Linked DNA regions of Lytechinus pictus. Each later gene encodes a partner of the first gene's protein in a complex. Links are inferred from orthologs where the notes say so. Each region holds a gene or a part of one and is shown on either strand. Other genes may lie near its edges.

Region 1 (7,345 bases):
TCCTGACATCGAGGCACAGACTGGAACTTCAAAAAAACGAAAAGTTCTCTCCTTCTACCCCCGTCTCGATCGGCCATTTTTGTTATGAATCGTAACAAAATGGCCGATCGAGACTGGGGTAGGAGAGAACGTTTCGTTTTTTTGAAGTTCCAGTCTGTGCCTCGTTGTCAGGAAACTGCCACTCGTTAGACCTTCATCCATATAATCGTGGTAAGTGCATAATTTCTGTTTTCACAATTCATTTGGAGAAATATTTCTTCTTCTTGGTGATACTCCTCAACGTTCCTATTACAGGAACCACCCGAGGAGGAAATGGGAGTGCGCACTTTGTTTCTTCTTAGTCCTTGTTGCTTAAGTCTTTGTTGCGAAAGTATATGGTTGCCTGTGTTTCAAAATTATCAGAGACTGAAATTGATTGGATGTCGGGGGGTAAAGAATTCCAGTCCTTGATGGTGCGTGGAATATATGAGTTCTTAAAACAATTGGTGCGAGTTGAGCACTGGATGAAAGATCTTCCGGATGTACGTCTGGTAGCTCGAGTCGCTGGACGTAGATAGTCCGACACCGGCAGGGCCAGGTGCCCCCCCAAGGCCTTGTGCAGTATACCAATCCTCGAAACTTTCCTTCTTGTTGAAAGGAGATCCCATCCTAACCCCTGCATTAGTTTTGTAGCACTGGTGGTTTGCCTATAGTCACTACAAACCATTCTGGCTGCCCTTCTTTGCACCTTACCAATTTCATAAATATGCTCTTTTGTATATGGGTCCCAAACGCTAGAACTATACTCTAAGATCGGTCGGACTAAAGTTATGTAAGCTGTAGCTTTTGTGAGTTTTGTGCATGATGGCAAGTTACGTTTAATAAAGCCGTTGACTTTATTTGCAGAAGTTGTGATTTTGAAAATATGCTTGTCCCATTTAAGATCTTGCGAGATATTGACACCAAGATATGAATGGTGGGTGGTTTCCTGTAGATCTACGCCACCCAAGTTATATTTGGTTGTGAAAGGTGATCTAGAAGAAGTTATCCTAAGAACAAAACATTTCTCTGGGTTAAGTTTCATTTGCCACTTATTTTCCCATGCAGAAAGTTTGTCCAGGTCATTCTGTAGTCTAGTAGCGTCATTTTGTGTTTTGATGTTAGAGTATATGATGCAGTCGTCCGCGTAAAGTCGTACAGTTGAGGTCAAGCCGTCTGGTAGGTCATTTACATAGATAATAAACAATAAGGGTCCGAGCACTGTGCCCTGCGGGACGCCTGACTGTACCTTAACCCATTGTGAATATTCCCCCCCTAATACTACTCTCTGGTATCTATTCTGTAGAAAAGATGAGATCCACTGATTAATCTTCCCATTAATACCATATTGCTTGAGTTTGAGGAGGAGTCGTTGATGGGGCACAGTGTCGAAAGCCTTAGAAAAGTCGGTTATTATTATGTCAGTCTGGGTCCGTTTGTCAAAAGAAAGAGAGAGGTCATGCATGGTTTGTATGAGCTGTGTTTCGCAGGAATGTAGTTTTCTGAAACCATGTTGACTTTTATTAAGAATATTGTATGATTCAAGATGGTTCATCACATGGGTATGTACCACATGTTCTTATATCTTACAACAAACAGAAGTGAGAGATACAGGCCTATAGTTTTCGGGTTTTGTACGATCTCCTTTTTTGTGGATGGGAGTGACATTGGCTTTACGCCAATCTTCAGGTAACTGTCCTGAGTTAACAGAAGCTTGAAATATTTTGGCAAGAATTGGCGCAACTTCATGGGAAAATTCCTTAAGAATACGAGGAGGTATATTTCATCCACCCCAGTTGCTTTCTTAGGGTCTAGATTCCTTAGGAGTTTTTCAATACCGGGGGTGTGAATGGTTATGTTACTTATGCCGGGAATATTACAAGGAGGGAAGTTTGGTAATGTCTGCAGGTTTTCAGTCGTGAAAACTGAGCGAAACTGATCATTAAGGATCTCAGCTTTCCGGCTGTTCTCAGAGAAGAGAATACCTTTTTCCTTGTCTTTTAGTTCTAGAATACCCGAAGAGTCTTTCCTAAGACTTTTTACGAAGGACCAAAATTGTTTCTTTGACTCTAAACAGAAGTCTCTTAATTATGTGTTTCCTATATGCAGACTTTGTCAATTTGTGAGTATCTTTCCTTATATTCCTAAAGTTTTCCCAGTCTGAGCCATCACTAACCCAGAGAGCTCCCGCCCGCGCAGCGGGCGGGAGCCCAGAAGCTTACCGTGTATTTTACCATTGTCACCGGACTAGGGTGATTTATGGTCTAAATATTTCTCCAAATGAATTGTGAAAACGGAAAGTATCCAATTACCACGATTATATGGATGAAGGTCTAACGAGTGGCAGATTCCTGACATCTGGAACCTCAAAAAAACGAAAAGTTCTCTCCTTCTACCCAGTCTCGATCGGCCATTTTGTTACGATTTTTAACAAAAATGGCCGATCGAGACGGGGTAGAAGGAGAGAACTTTTCGTTTTTTTTGAGGTTCCAGACTGTGCCCAGATGTCAGGAATCTGCCACTCGTTAGACCTTCATCCATATATTATAATCGTGGTAATTGTATACTTTCTGTTTTCACAATTCATTTGGAGAAATATTTAGACCATAAATCACGCTAGTCCCGTGAGTATGGTCAAATACACGGTAAGCTCCTGGGCTCCCGCCCGCGCAGCGTCGGGAGTTCCCTGGGTTAATATCATGGCCCTTTAAACTTCACCAAATTGGATAAGTGGGACTAGGGTGCGTCATTAAATTTGGGTCCCGAACAAAGATGAATGTTGAATTACCTGAAGCTTCTTCCATTATGTGGTGCATAACATCATCATTACCGACAAACATCACAGATATTCCCTTCGACATACGCTGTTTAGACTTTTTATGAGCAGATTTAGGCGTAGACTTGGATCTAAGTTTCGATTTATCCATGATTGTGATGCCTGATGGCCGGCTATCTTCTACGAAATTTGAGTTTTCGCGCACGTTGTTGTGAGTGGTGGTGGCTTTGACTTTGCAAATACCATTTGGCAAAATTTTGGGAGGCGACCACCATAGATAATACATGTAATAATTATAATAAATATCTCTATGGCGTTCATCAAGTTGATTAAAAAGCAGAAAATTGTGGAAAATATAATAAGGTTCTGGGGGGGGGGGGGGTTGGCACCAAGGCATCGTAGACGTCTTTCAGAAAAAAGGGGTTGCTTTTTCAGCACTATATACCATACTCCAGCAGCAAAAGCTATACATTACTTCAAGTTAAGTTTATGAAATCTCATCCACTTCAAGCTATGACGTCTCACAGCTAATATACCATCCCCCCATAATGCTCTCCCTCCCTTCCCGGCTCACTTCATCATTTGTCTCTATCTCTTCAGTTGTATTTGTCATATCCCGGCTTCCTATTGTGATATCTCTTCTCGATCTATACCTCTCTCACTCCCTTCCCCGCTTGTATTCCACCACTCTCTATTCACCACACCAGTCTCTCTATCTTTCCATGATCCCCCTTTCCCTGACCTCTACCCCCCATCTCCCCCTATTTCCCACTCTCTCCTTATACATGTACCTCTCCTCTCTATATTCTGCTTACCCCATCTTGATCTTCACATTTCAGCAGTTCAGGGTAACCACTTTGGGTTTATTTTGATTTATACATTATACTTCTTCCAAATGTTTAGATGTAATGCATATCACAATTCAAATAAAAGACACCCAGTACCAAAAACATATTTTTGTTTTAAATATGGTTTTTATTACATCAGTGACCACCTAGTTGAGTCAAGGGTTCTTTAGATGTAAAAAAATAACACGACAGCTGAGGTATACATGTTAATTCTCTAGCTCTTACTGTTAATTGACTGAACATCCTAATATTCCACTTATTTCATTTCAAAGAGCAATCTTTAAGCAAAAATTGCCAATTAATTTGGAAAAAAATAAAATAAATAGAAGTAAATTAAATAAATTTCATTTCATGTTTAAGATAAATACAGAATTGCACAAAATCTAATAAAAAAAGACCACTTTTCTCTGTTAATATGGTATAATCTTCATTCTTGAAGTTCATCAAAAGAGAGTTTTACCCCCCCCCCCCCAAAATACTGGAATCATTACAAGCTAACCACTGTCGGCACCCAGGGTCAGCACCAAAGAAGGTTTGAATTAAACATGATATGTCATACTCAGTTGGGTTTTTCATAAAGCTGTTCAAGCAATGATCGACTTAATGAATGACTGGTGATTCTTTCTTGTGGTAAATGAAACGCACCAGATTTCCATTAGTGTTGATTCAGTTCCTAAGAAAGGATCCCAGTGGTTCGTAACGCAGCCTTTAGATGAGAAACAGCTTAATGAAACAACTTTCAATATCATCAATGCCCATTCATGATCTCGGCAAACTGATTCCTCATCAGAATGCTCAATTTTAATATATGAGCGAGATTGAATATGCCCATTAAAATGTTACCAAAATCATAAGCTTATTTTTTTAATTATCATAGGGCCTTTCACAAGCAAAAATAATTGCCAATTAGGAACAAAAGGATTAAAAAGCACTCCTATAACCTTCCTAATTTCCAATGGATCATGTGGCCATTATAAATAATGACAGAGTTCATACTAAATCCTTTTCTATTACTTTATCAAAAGGTATGTTTATCAAGGCTAATTCTTCAGCACAGAAGCCTATAGAGGGGGTTGCCACATGACGTCACCATGGAGGACATAACAATGGGAAACATGTGCACTATCCATAAAAGCAACCACTGATCTTAGTTGAATGCACAGGTTTTCATTGTTCTCCTCCAAAATGGCTGCTCTATGGACCTCCTTAGAGGACAAAAAGTTAATAATCATCCTTGGTGAAAATGATAAGACAATATATCATTTCCATATTATCTTACTGAACAGAGCTAAGGAAAGATGACATTTATCCATCTTGCCAAGGAAGTGATAGTTTGTCTCATTCACTGAAACCGCAATTAAGAAAAGAAATTCTTTTTTTTTAAATGACATTAAAGCAAAGTTAAGTTTGATTTCTGCTTGGAGCATGTCTTTTTTTGTTTGGGAGCACACTTACATTGATATATTCCTGTATTTACTTAGGAGACCTCACAAAATCAGCTGATCCTACATTTGATTTAGCCCTAACCAGACCAGGCTAAGTCATACTTTTTGCTCTAATTCACTATAAAAAGCTCATAGAATGCTAATTTTTGGTGTAAATATTCTTTATACCATTGCTAACAATCACAAATTAATAAAAATCTTGGTTTGAAAATGAATTTACTATTTATTTCATTGTTTTATGAATTTCTTATGTATTTTTTTGTTGTTCGACCTTTTGTTTTTCAGAACCTTTTTAAAGCATAATTATGCTAAAATCAATTAATTTTAGCTGATAAAAGTGAATAAGGTGAGAAAATTCAATTTACATTGACTTTGTACAAAAAATTACGTTTTGGAGCAATTTTGGGTCTGACATGCACTTACATAATGTTGTGTAATTATCGTACCGCATACCCGGGCATCATAAATTTGGTCTCAAAAGATGCGCAAGACTTTAAAGTAAAATGTCAGCGATCGGTGCGGTCAAAAATTTGGTGCAGAGGAATGGTCATGGAAAATGTCGAGGCTGATTCACCCCCCCCCCCCCGCTGGATTAGGGTTAATGATTATCTTGGTAAAGATACGTGATGTCATACTCTTAAAGTGAGAGGAGGGAGTGACTCATTACACCCCCCCCCCCTCCTGGAACTGAGCAATAAGTTCCTTGCATGAATCTATACAAGTGATATTTATTGCATATTTTCAATTATTTGATCTGATCATAAAGTGTAAACATTTCATGATGATTAATAAAATAAATATATATATATATATATATAATACTAAATCTGTTAACGCAACATACCAGCACATTCCCCTTTTCATAGAATCAAATAAATTTCTTTTGATAACCGTATTTCATCAAATTCGTGCATTGGCTTATGAAAACCTGGCCCTAAGCTCTCTTTCATAAAACTTGTTATTAAAATCAAACTGCAAACTTTTGATATATGCCATTTCATTGGTTGAGAGATCTTTGTCATAGAATTGTGAATCTTGTCTGAAGTTACACAACTGGGAGGTCATGAGTTCAACCCCAGTTAACAGCTATGTCAGACCAAAAGTCATTCAAGATAAACAAAGTAGTTGCAGCAGTAAACACTGATTTCATGAGAAAGTCTGCGAAACCAAGGTTAATTGTCACTATATCATTGTGGATCTAGATATGATAGAAAACTTAACTTTGAGAAATTATGAAATCTTACACTGTAGATCACCAACACAGATAAGCACATGTGGGACAATGTATTATTGCTTGGAAAAACCTGACAATCTGCTCGTATTCCATGCTTATTTTGCTCATTTCTCATTAATTACACAATTTCTCCCACAATCCTTTGTCACATGTGGGACAATGTATTATTGCTTGGAAAAACCTGACAATCTGCTCGTATTCCATGTTTATTTTGCTAATTTCTCAGTAATTACACAATTTCTCCCACAATCCTTTGTCACATATTTTTGAATTTTGAAAAAGGACAATGGGGGGGGGGGCATATGATTGGATTCCATACAAAATACTTTTGAAATCATTACCATAACTGGCATTTATCTTTGGTTCATGTCAATCACTATGCAAAAATAGCAAAATGCAGCCACCAATGTAATGGAAGCACACAGATGTGGATTGGGATCTAGATATAACAAGTATATCATAATAACAATCTTGACAAAAGTATAACAAAGATATTTTGTTACACTACAAAATAAGAATAAAAATGAAGTTTTCAAAAATTTGATAGAAATGCATCCCTGAAAAATGATGATTATGCAAACTTAATTTAGAGTGCTTTCTGATCACAAACATGTTTCATCATTTATCTTATTTTTTTTACCTTCAAGCTCATTGATCATAACTCCCATCAATATTTTATCAATGTACTAATATTTCTATTTAGTGATTCTTCTTTCTTGTACCTAATATGAAATGTATCAAATCTTCTTTCTTCATATTTAATCAGAAAATTACCCATAATGGTGATAATTTTCTACAGTGTTTTCTTCAATAGGATCACATCACTTCTCTTACAGAGCCAGCTAGTGCACAGTAAGGTAGTGCCTTTTTTTATAATGGTATCTACACTCCTACATCTTAAAATATAATTCTCTTTCCTGATAAACAATCAAGATATCAGAGCCCTCAGTAATACAGTAGTACTGATAACAATGGTGGCTTTTATTAGGGTTGTATCCACCAAGTTGGGATGCTAAAGGCTCTA
Region 2 (7,411 bases), on another chromosome or scaffold:
TCAATTCACAGTCCAAAGTTTGATGTAATTTTACACATCGAATTTACAATCTAAGGATGTATAACCAACAAACTTTTAAAACTTGATATTTAATTATCAAAATACTTTAAACGATATAGATGAAAAAGGCATGAAAAATATACTTTACCGATGTTTAATTGGGTTGAACACGATAAAAATGGTCAAAATGGCAGCCAAACTATAAAATATTACAAACGAACGTCAACAATCACGAATGTGATATCGATATTGCTTTCGATATTATACGATCTGCTCCATATGCGAACGAAATCGAAGATAAACGATACTAGTTATACTAGTACTAGTACTAGTTATAATCGCGATATATCGATTCGAGACATTAAGTTAATAACGATAATGACGTCATTCAAGATGGCAACTTGCAAGAAAAACCGTCAGGTCAGGTGAAAATGTCTTAGATGACAGATTTCTCAATCATCCAGAGGATTTTTTTCAATAACTCCGGCCCAAGGTATGCAATTACTTAAGTTATTTATATTTCCCTGATAATGGAAACCATGAAACTTTCAATTTTGCTTAAAAAACAGTTTAAAATCTCGATCTATAAAACGCTAGTTCACTATACGTTGGCTGTAGGTACGGGGCCCCATCCCCTTCAGTCTATGTATGGTGAGTGGAGCCAACGTAGTTCAGCGGAACAACCAAAATACAGAGACTGAAGCTTTTGGTCTAACCGCAGGGTAGTGTGCTCGGGCCAACCCTCTTTGTTATGTATGTAAACGATCTGCCAGACGTTACTTCAAGCTCTACGCTATTATATGCTGATGACGCTAAGATTTATGCCAGAGTACCAAACCCTGACTGTAGTCAATCACTGCAAGATGATTTGAATGGCATTGAGAAATGGTCACTCTCATGGCAGCTTCCTCTGAACTCTGATAAATGTAAGACTCTTTATATAGGAAATAACAATATCCATCGTTCATACTCTAACGTTTTATGGATAATCGTTCACTGGTTGATGTCAACTGTGAAAGGGATCTTGGTGTTCTTATTGATGATAGTGAACTCACATTTCATCAACATGTATCTGCATCTATCCAAAAAGCTAACCAAATGTTGGGCATCATCAAACGTGCATTTGTGAACATTAAACCGGATATATTTCTGCCCCTGTAGGCTGTACAAGGCTCTTGTTCGACCACATTTGGAGTATTGTAGTGTTGTGTGGAGCCCTAGATTCATCACCGATGACAGAAGAATTGAATCTGTACAACGTAGAGCAACAAGACTATTTCCAGGATTTAACTCCTTATCTTATGAGTGACTGAAAGACTTGTTAGACTGAATCTGTACTCCTTACATTACCGCAGAGAATGAGGGGACATGATACAAAATTACAACAAGTATTTAAAATATTACATGGTATAGGAGATAGAGTCGACACAGAATCCCTCTTCATGAGGTCTCATACTAGTATCAGGGAACAAGAGGTCATCCCTTCAAACTGTTCACAACTCACTGTCGGTTGAATGCCCGCAGCAGCTTTTTCAGTAAAAGAGTGATTCAATCCTGGAATAGTTTGCCTGCAACACTAGTATTATAATGTCCTCCAGCATCAACTCATTATTATTTTAAACACGGATTAGATTCTTTTTGGTCAAGCAAACATTTTGAAATTGTCTGACATCCACGCCCGCGCGCACTGAACTTAGAGTTAGACTTAGAGTAACCCAGAGAGCTCCCGCCCGCGCAGCGGGCGGGAGCCCAGAAGCTTACCGTGTATTTGACCATATTCACCGGACTAGGGTGATTTATGGTCTAAATATTTCTCCAAATGAATTGTGGAAACAGAAAGTATACAATTACCACGATTATATGGATGAAGGTCTAACGAGTGGCAGTTTCCTGACATCTGGGCACAGACTGGAACCTCAAAAAAACGAAAAGTTCTCTCCTTCTACCCCCGTTTCGATCGGCCATTTTTGTTAAAAATCGTAACAAAATGGCCGATCGAGACTGGGGTAGAGGACAGAACTTTTCGGTTTTTTTAGGTTCCAGTCTGTGCCCAGATGTCAGGAAACTGCCACTCGTTAGACCTTCATCCATATAATCGTGGTAATTGTATACTTTCTGTTTTCACAATTCATTTGGAGAAATATTTAGACCATAAATCACCCTAGTCCGCTGAATATGGTCAAATACACGGTAAGCTTCTGGGCTCCCGCCCGCGCAGCGGGCGGGAGCTCTCTGGGTTAGACTTAGACCAAAAGCTTCAGTCTCTGTTATGTTGGTTGTTCAGCTGAACTCCGTTGGCTTCACTCACCAAATACAGAGACCGAAGTTCTAGCGCGATCTGTACAGGGGACTCAATGGCCATATGTTTATGTACTTAAGAGCGGATAAAACGGGGAAGTGAATTTGCGCGACAGCCGAGATAAGTCACTGTTTTTGTTTCTTTTAACTTGATTTTTCTCTGTTTTTTGGCAATTAATGCCAAGAGGGAATATTAATTTGCATTTTGGTCGCGTTAATTTTCAAAAATTTTATTTATTAAAGACAAAAATTGAAGAGCCCCGACGGGGGGATTTTGCATTGCAAGTCCCCTAATGGTGGCTGCACGATAGCGAGCCGTCTGTGTATGAGGAGAAATTAAAAAAATAAAAAAATGTTAAAAAACTCCTCGAAACAGACGGCTGCCAGCTGTCTAGGTTAGACTTAGAGTAGACTTTAATTATGCATCAAGTGTTTACGACCGGGAGATCTACAGGACTATATAGTATATTACCTACCCTCCCGTACAGATGATGATGATGATGATGGAAAGATGTCAGATCTGACAACTTGTCGGATGAAAATATTGATGAAACGCTCCCCCGGTATACCGTATTACCGTAATATAATGTGTGTGCCGCTCTAGCTCTAGCTCTCGATCGACCTCGGCCGCGCTCACAATCAAATGGCGCGCCACGGTACCGAGTATATAGTACGGTACGAGGCTCTGGCTAGCGCTAGTGCTGATTTGGCTGGCTATATGGGGCCGATTGCACGAAAGGGTCTTTCCAAGGACCGTCTTTCGTGTCGCCCATATTTTATGATACGCCATGTGAAACGCATTTCAAATAAATTATCTGCAAATATATTTTATTTGTCCGTCAAAATAAACAAAATATTTGTATATAAAATGATGTGATATCCCATGAAATTGTATAAAATTTGATTTAAAAGCAAGCTTACGAATTTTATTTGTTTATCATAAATTTCCGAATCGCCCCGCTTATAGCGCATCATAAAAGATGGGCGACACGAAAGACGGTCCTTGGAAAGACCCTTTCGTGCAATCGCCCCCTGCTCTGCGCATATTGCTTCCTAGGGCCGATTGCACGAAAGGGTCTTTCCAAGGACCGTCTTTCGTGTCGCCCATCTTTTATGATGCGCTATAAGCGGGGTGTTTCTGAAATTTATGATAAACAAATAAAATTCGTAAGCTTGCTTTTAAATCAAATTTTATACAATTTCATGAGATATCACATCATTTTATAAACAAATATATTGTTTAATTTAACGGACAAATAAAATATATTTGCAGATAATTTATTTGAAATGCGTTTCACATGGCGTATCATAAAAGATGGGCGACACGAAAGACGGTCCTTGGAAAGACCCTTTCGTGCAATCGGCCCCTAGTTTTTAGGCTAGGCGGAAGTACCGTACGCATACGGGCGGTGCATGCACGAGAAGACTGTCTCTCCACATCCGAAGCCAATGATTGTCTAACATTTGCTGTTTGATTTATCTAACTTCGAAGTTCCAGCTAGGGTAATTGTTGGTGATAATTGAGGAGAAGGAATTAATAAGAAAGGTAAACAAATACCACACTGAAACTACCGTAAATGATTGAGGTACCAGTGTCGGCAGTGATCTACTCTCACTCAACAATCAAGTACCGGTACCGTATATAGAATATACTCCGACCGTGATTTCGCTCATGTGATACGTAAGTATATGTGTCACGGAATCGTGGTTATACACACTCACCTGCGTGCGAAAGGAATTGCACACGCTGTAAATAAAGACGGACTCCTGAGGGGAAGTTATTGACTCGGGCTCCATCGATGTATTCAAATTAATTATTAAAGGGATGGTCCGGGCTGGAAATATTTATATCTTAATACATAGAATATAATTCACTGAGAAAAATGCCGGAAATTTCATCAAAATCGGACAACAAATAATAAGTTATTGAAGTTTAAATAAAGTTTAGCAATATAAAATAATAATTTTGTGAAAACAGTCGTCATGAATATTTATTAATAATATTAGGTGGGCTGATGATGTCACATCCCCATTTTCCGTTTTCTTACGTTATTACATAAAGGCAAAATCGTGATATAGGCCCCGCTCGAGAAAAACTTGTAATCGATTATACTACCTCAATATCTAGGTTGCTAACTTCAGCTCACTATATATACTCGTGATATAGGCCCCGCTGCTGTGTTGAATAGCTTAGAATGTCAGTTTGCGGGGCCTGTTTCACGAGTATAGTACTATAACCGTTATATAGGCCCCGCACTACGGCACTTCAGACACTCCAACACAGTAGCGGGGCCTATATATCACGAGTATATAATAAGCTTGCATCCTAAGATAGTCGCGAAACTGGCCCCGTCCAATGCGCTTGTCCCAGCATTCGCACGTGTGTGGGGCTCGGATGACGGCTATAGTAGTATACTCGTTATCGAGGCCCCTTACGCTGTTATATAATGGAAAATAACGTGGTCGTGGGGCTTGTTTCCCCTGCCGGTGAGAATTATCATGGGCGGCGCTGTAGGGGGGAGGGGGGCCCTTCAATTTATTTTCCAAATAAACAAGGAAAGAATATCATGGGCGGCGCTGCAGGAGGCGGGGGGGGGGCTCCAATTTATTTTCCAAATAAACAATTAAGGAGATATAATAATTTACTTCTTCAGAAATTTATTTGTCGATTTATTTATATTTATTCATTAATCATTTAATTCATTTGTTTTCAGTTATTTTTTTCTTTTGTGATATAGAGAGTCAGAGTTAGGTATCATTCGTTTTTAATTCTTTTTATGTGTGGAAGTTCATTTAATTTATTTATCAATCTATTTTAATTGTTTAATTAATGTATTTATATTTATTCATTAATCATTGTGATATAGAGAGTCAGAGTTAGGTATCATTCGCTTTTAATTCTTTTTATGTGTGGAAGTTCATTTAATTTATTTATCAATCTATTTTAATTGTTTGATTAATGTATTTATATTTATTCATTAATCATTTAATTTATTTGTTATATTTTCATCTTTTTGTTATCTGAGGTCTTATGTTGATACAGGGCCATACATTTCATTTATTTTTCATTTATTTCTATTCATTCTGTAAGTTATAATGGCTATACAAAATGAAGACGGCACTCATTGTAAAGCTTAGAATATCTTCTCTTTCACCTGGTATCCTTAGAAGATTCCTCGATCATTCAGGCATGAATGACTTTGAAAATTTGAAGAAAGTATAATCTGAATTTAAAAATTATCGTTTACCTTCTTTGAATTAGTCGTAGTTGAAGGGTGTTATAACCTTATTTTTCGTTACATAAAAGGAATTTATATTTTGTTTAAAGGTCAAGTTCACCCCAGAAAAAATGTTGATTTGAATAAATAGAGATATATCAAACTAGCATAACGCTGGAAATTTCATCTAAATCGGATGTAAAATAAGAAAGTTGTGATATTTTTAAAGTTTCGCTTATTTTTCACAAAAAAGTGATATAGGCCCTATATGCACAACTCATTTGCATGCAAATGATACAGTTCCGGCCTCGCTATTTTTTTTTTTTTAATTATACAATATTTCATTTTTCACATTTTTTACAATAAGGGCCAACGTGAATGAACCATATGTTCAGGGAGAAATTGTTGCACTTGACAATGAGAAGAAAATGGGAGAATATCATATTTCATATAATACAATACTAAAGAAATAGTGAGTGGATGGCGTCATCAGTTTCCTCATTTGCATACCGACCTGGATGTGCATATGTAACTATTATTTCAAATTAAACTAAACTTCAAAATGTGATAACTTTCTTATTTTATCTGATTTTGATGAAATTTTCAGCGTTATGATCGTTTGATTTTCCTCTTTTTATTCAAATCAACTTTTTTGTTGGGGTGGACTTGTCCTTTAAATTAAACAATTGATGTATTTGTTTGTATTAAACTTTTTGTTTTATTTGATGTAAGACCAACCATTATCGTTAATTTCTCTTTTTACTTATGGATTTGATCTCTCTGTATACCATATATTATTATATATATAAACAAATATATTTTGTTACCTCACTGAAGCCAATACGTGAAACGTTAGAGAGAGAGAGAGTGGGAGAGAGAGGCTTAATGCATCACTATTTCAAGTTCTCCTTCGTATTGTTTAACTTATTCATTTCCTGGTTTATTCATATATTCATTTATTCGTTCACGTTTGCACTGTTTGGGGAAAAAATGTTGTCTATTAATTGACACGAATGGCCTACCCTTAAAGGGGGCAGTTTACCCTGACGCAAAGTTGATGATAATTAAAGCAGAAACATAGAAAAATATTCTTAAACTAAACGTTTGATGAAAATATATATTTTGTTGATTGTCACGCACTTCGGTTAAGAAGTTCGATATTCTCTAATCAAATATTGTCATTCTCATACTTAAATTAGTTTTTATCATATGAAATAGTACTCTACTCATTTATGTAATGAATGTCTTGCTAAGATCAATTGTGAATGTCACTTTCACTTGCCCAGTAACCTGCACAATCAAGGTACTAATGGATAATTTGTTTTTCTGTTCCAATCATGTAGAAGCGGAAACGGAAATCAGCCCCTTAGTTTGGTTTTTGAAAACACAAAAACGAAATCACAACGAGAAAAACGTGTTGTGATTTGGCATTTGTATATAAAAAAACAATGAAATTAGAAATACTTTTGTGCTTTATCTGGTTTCTCATTCTAAATTTGTGTTTATATATATAAAAAAAAACAATATCAGAACATGCCACGATTCATGACCTCACTGTCAACTAAGAATGTACGATGCAACTGCATGACAAACAGCGCCTATAGAATTGTTGGATGTCGCCTAGCAACAGGGTGCTATGTAAGTGGTAATTAAACTACATGTAAATCAATGTAAAATAATGATATTTACAGATGAAGTAAAGTGTTGAACAAGATGCCCCCCCCCCCCCTCTCTCACTCCTACATGTCAGCAGTGCTTAAAAACATACCCTTTTCGTGTCGATATATATCAACAAACTTCATCTCGAACTTCGATCGCATTCGCATCCTATTTTCAAGTGTGAAAAAAATTCAGCTCGCGCTCCTCTTTCATATCCTGTTCATGCGTCACTGTAA

The links. Proteins that work in one complex are often made in the same cells at the same time.
Region 2: the proteins of origin recognition complex subunit 2-like (region 1) and origin recognition complex subunit 5-like are in contact, whole or in part, in a crystal structure (PDB 4XGC), measured with the Drosophila melanogaster proteins. The link is inferred for Lytechinus pictus from reciprocal best matches to the Drosophila melanogaster genes Orc2 and Orc5. Residues at the interface, in NP_731873.1 of Drosophila melanogaster: Asp438, Arg443, His468, Asn470, Thr471, Pro472, Leu473, Leu474, Trp475, Asp476, Gln477, Leu480, Trp487, Ser521, Ser524, Glu564; in NP_477132.1 of Drosophila melanogaster: Lys169, Ile382, Cys401, Asn402, Leu404, Ser405, Ile407, Ser408, Thr409, His412, Asn424, Ile425, Met426, Glu427.

What each region holds. Positions count from the first base shown.
Region 1 is NW_026974140.1:18,890,157-18,897,501, forward strand, and holds the start of origin recognition complex subunit 2-like, read right to left. Parts: upstream 3,009-7,345; 5' UTR 2,946-3,008; coding exon 2,807-2,945; intron 1-2,806. UniProt on the Drosophila melanogaster protein: Component of the origin recognition complex (ORC) that binds origins of replication. DNA-binding is ATP-dependent, however specific DNA sequences that define origins of replication have not been identified so far.
Region 2 is NC_087247.1:38,510,320-38,517,730, reverse strand, and holds the start of origin recognition complex subunit 5-like, read right to left. Parts: upstream 3,004-7,411; 5' UTR 2,775-3,003; intron 1-2,774. UniProt on the Drosophila melanogaster protein: Component of the origin recognition complex (ORC) that binds origins of replication. DNA-binding is ATP-dependent, however specific DNA sequences that define origins of replication have not been identified so far.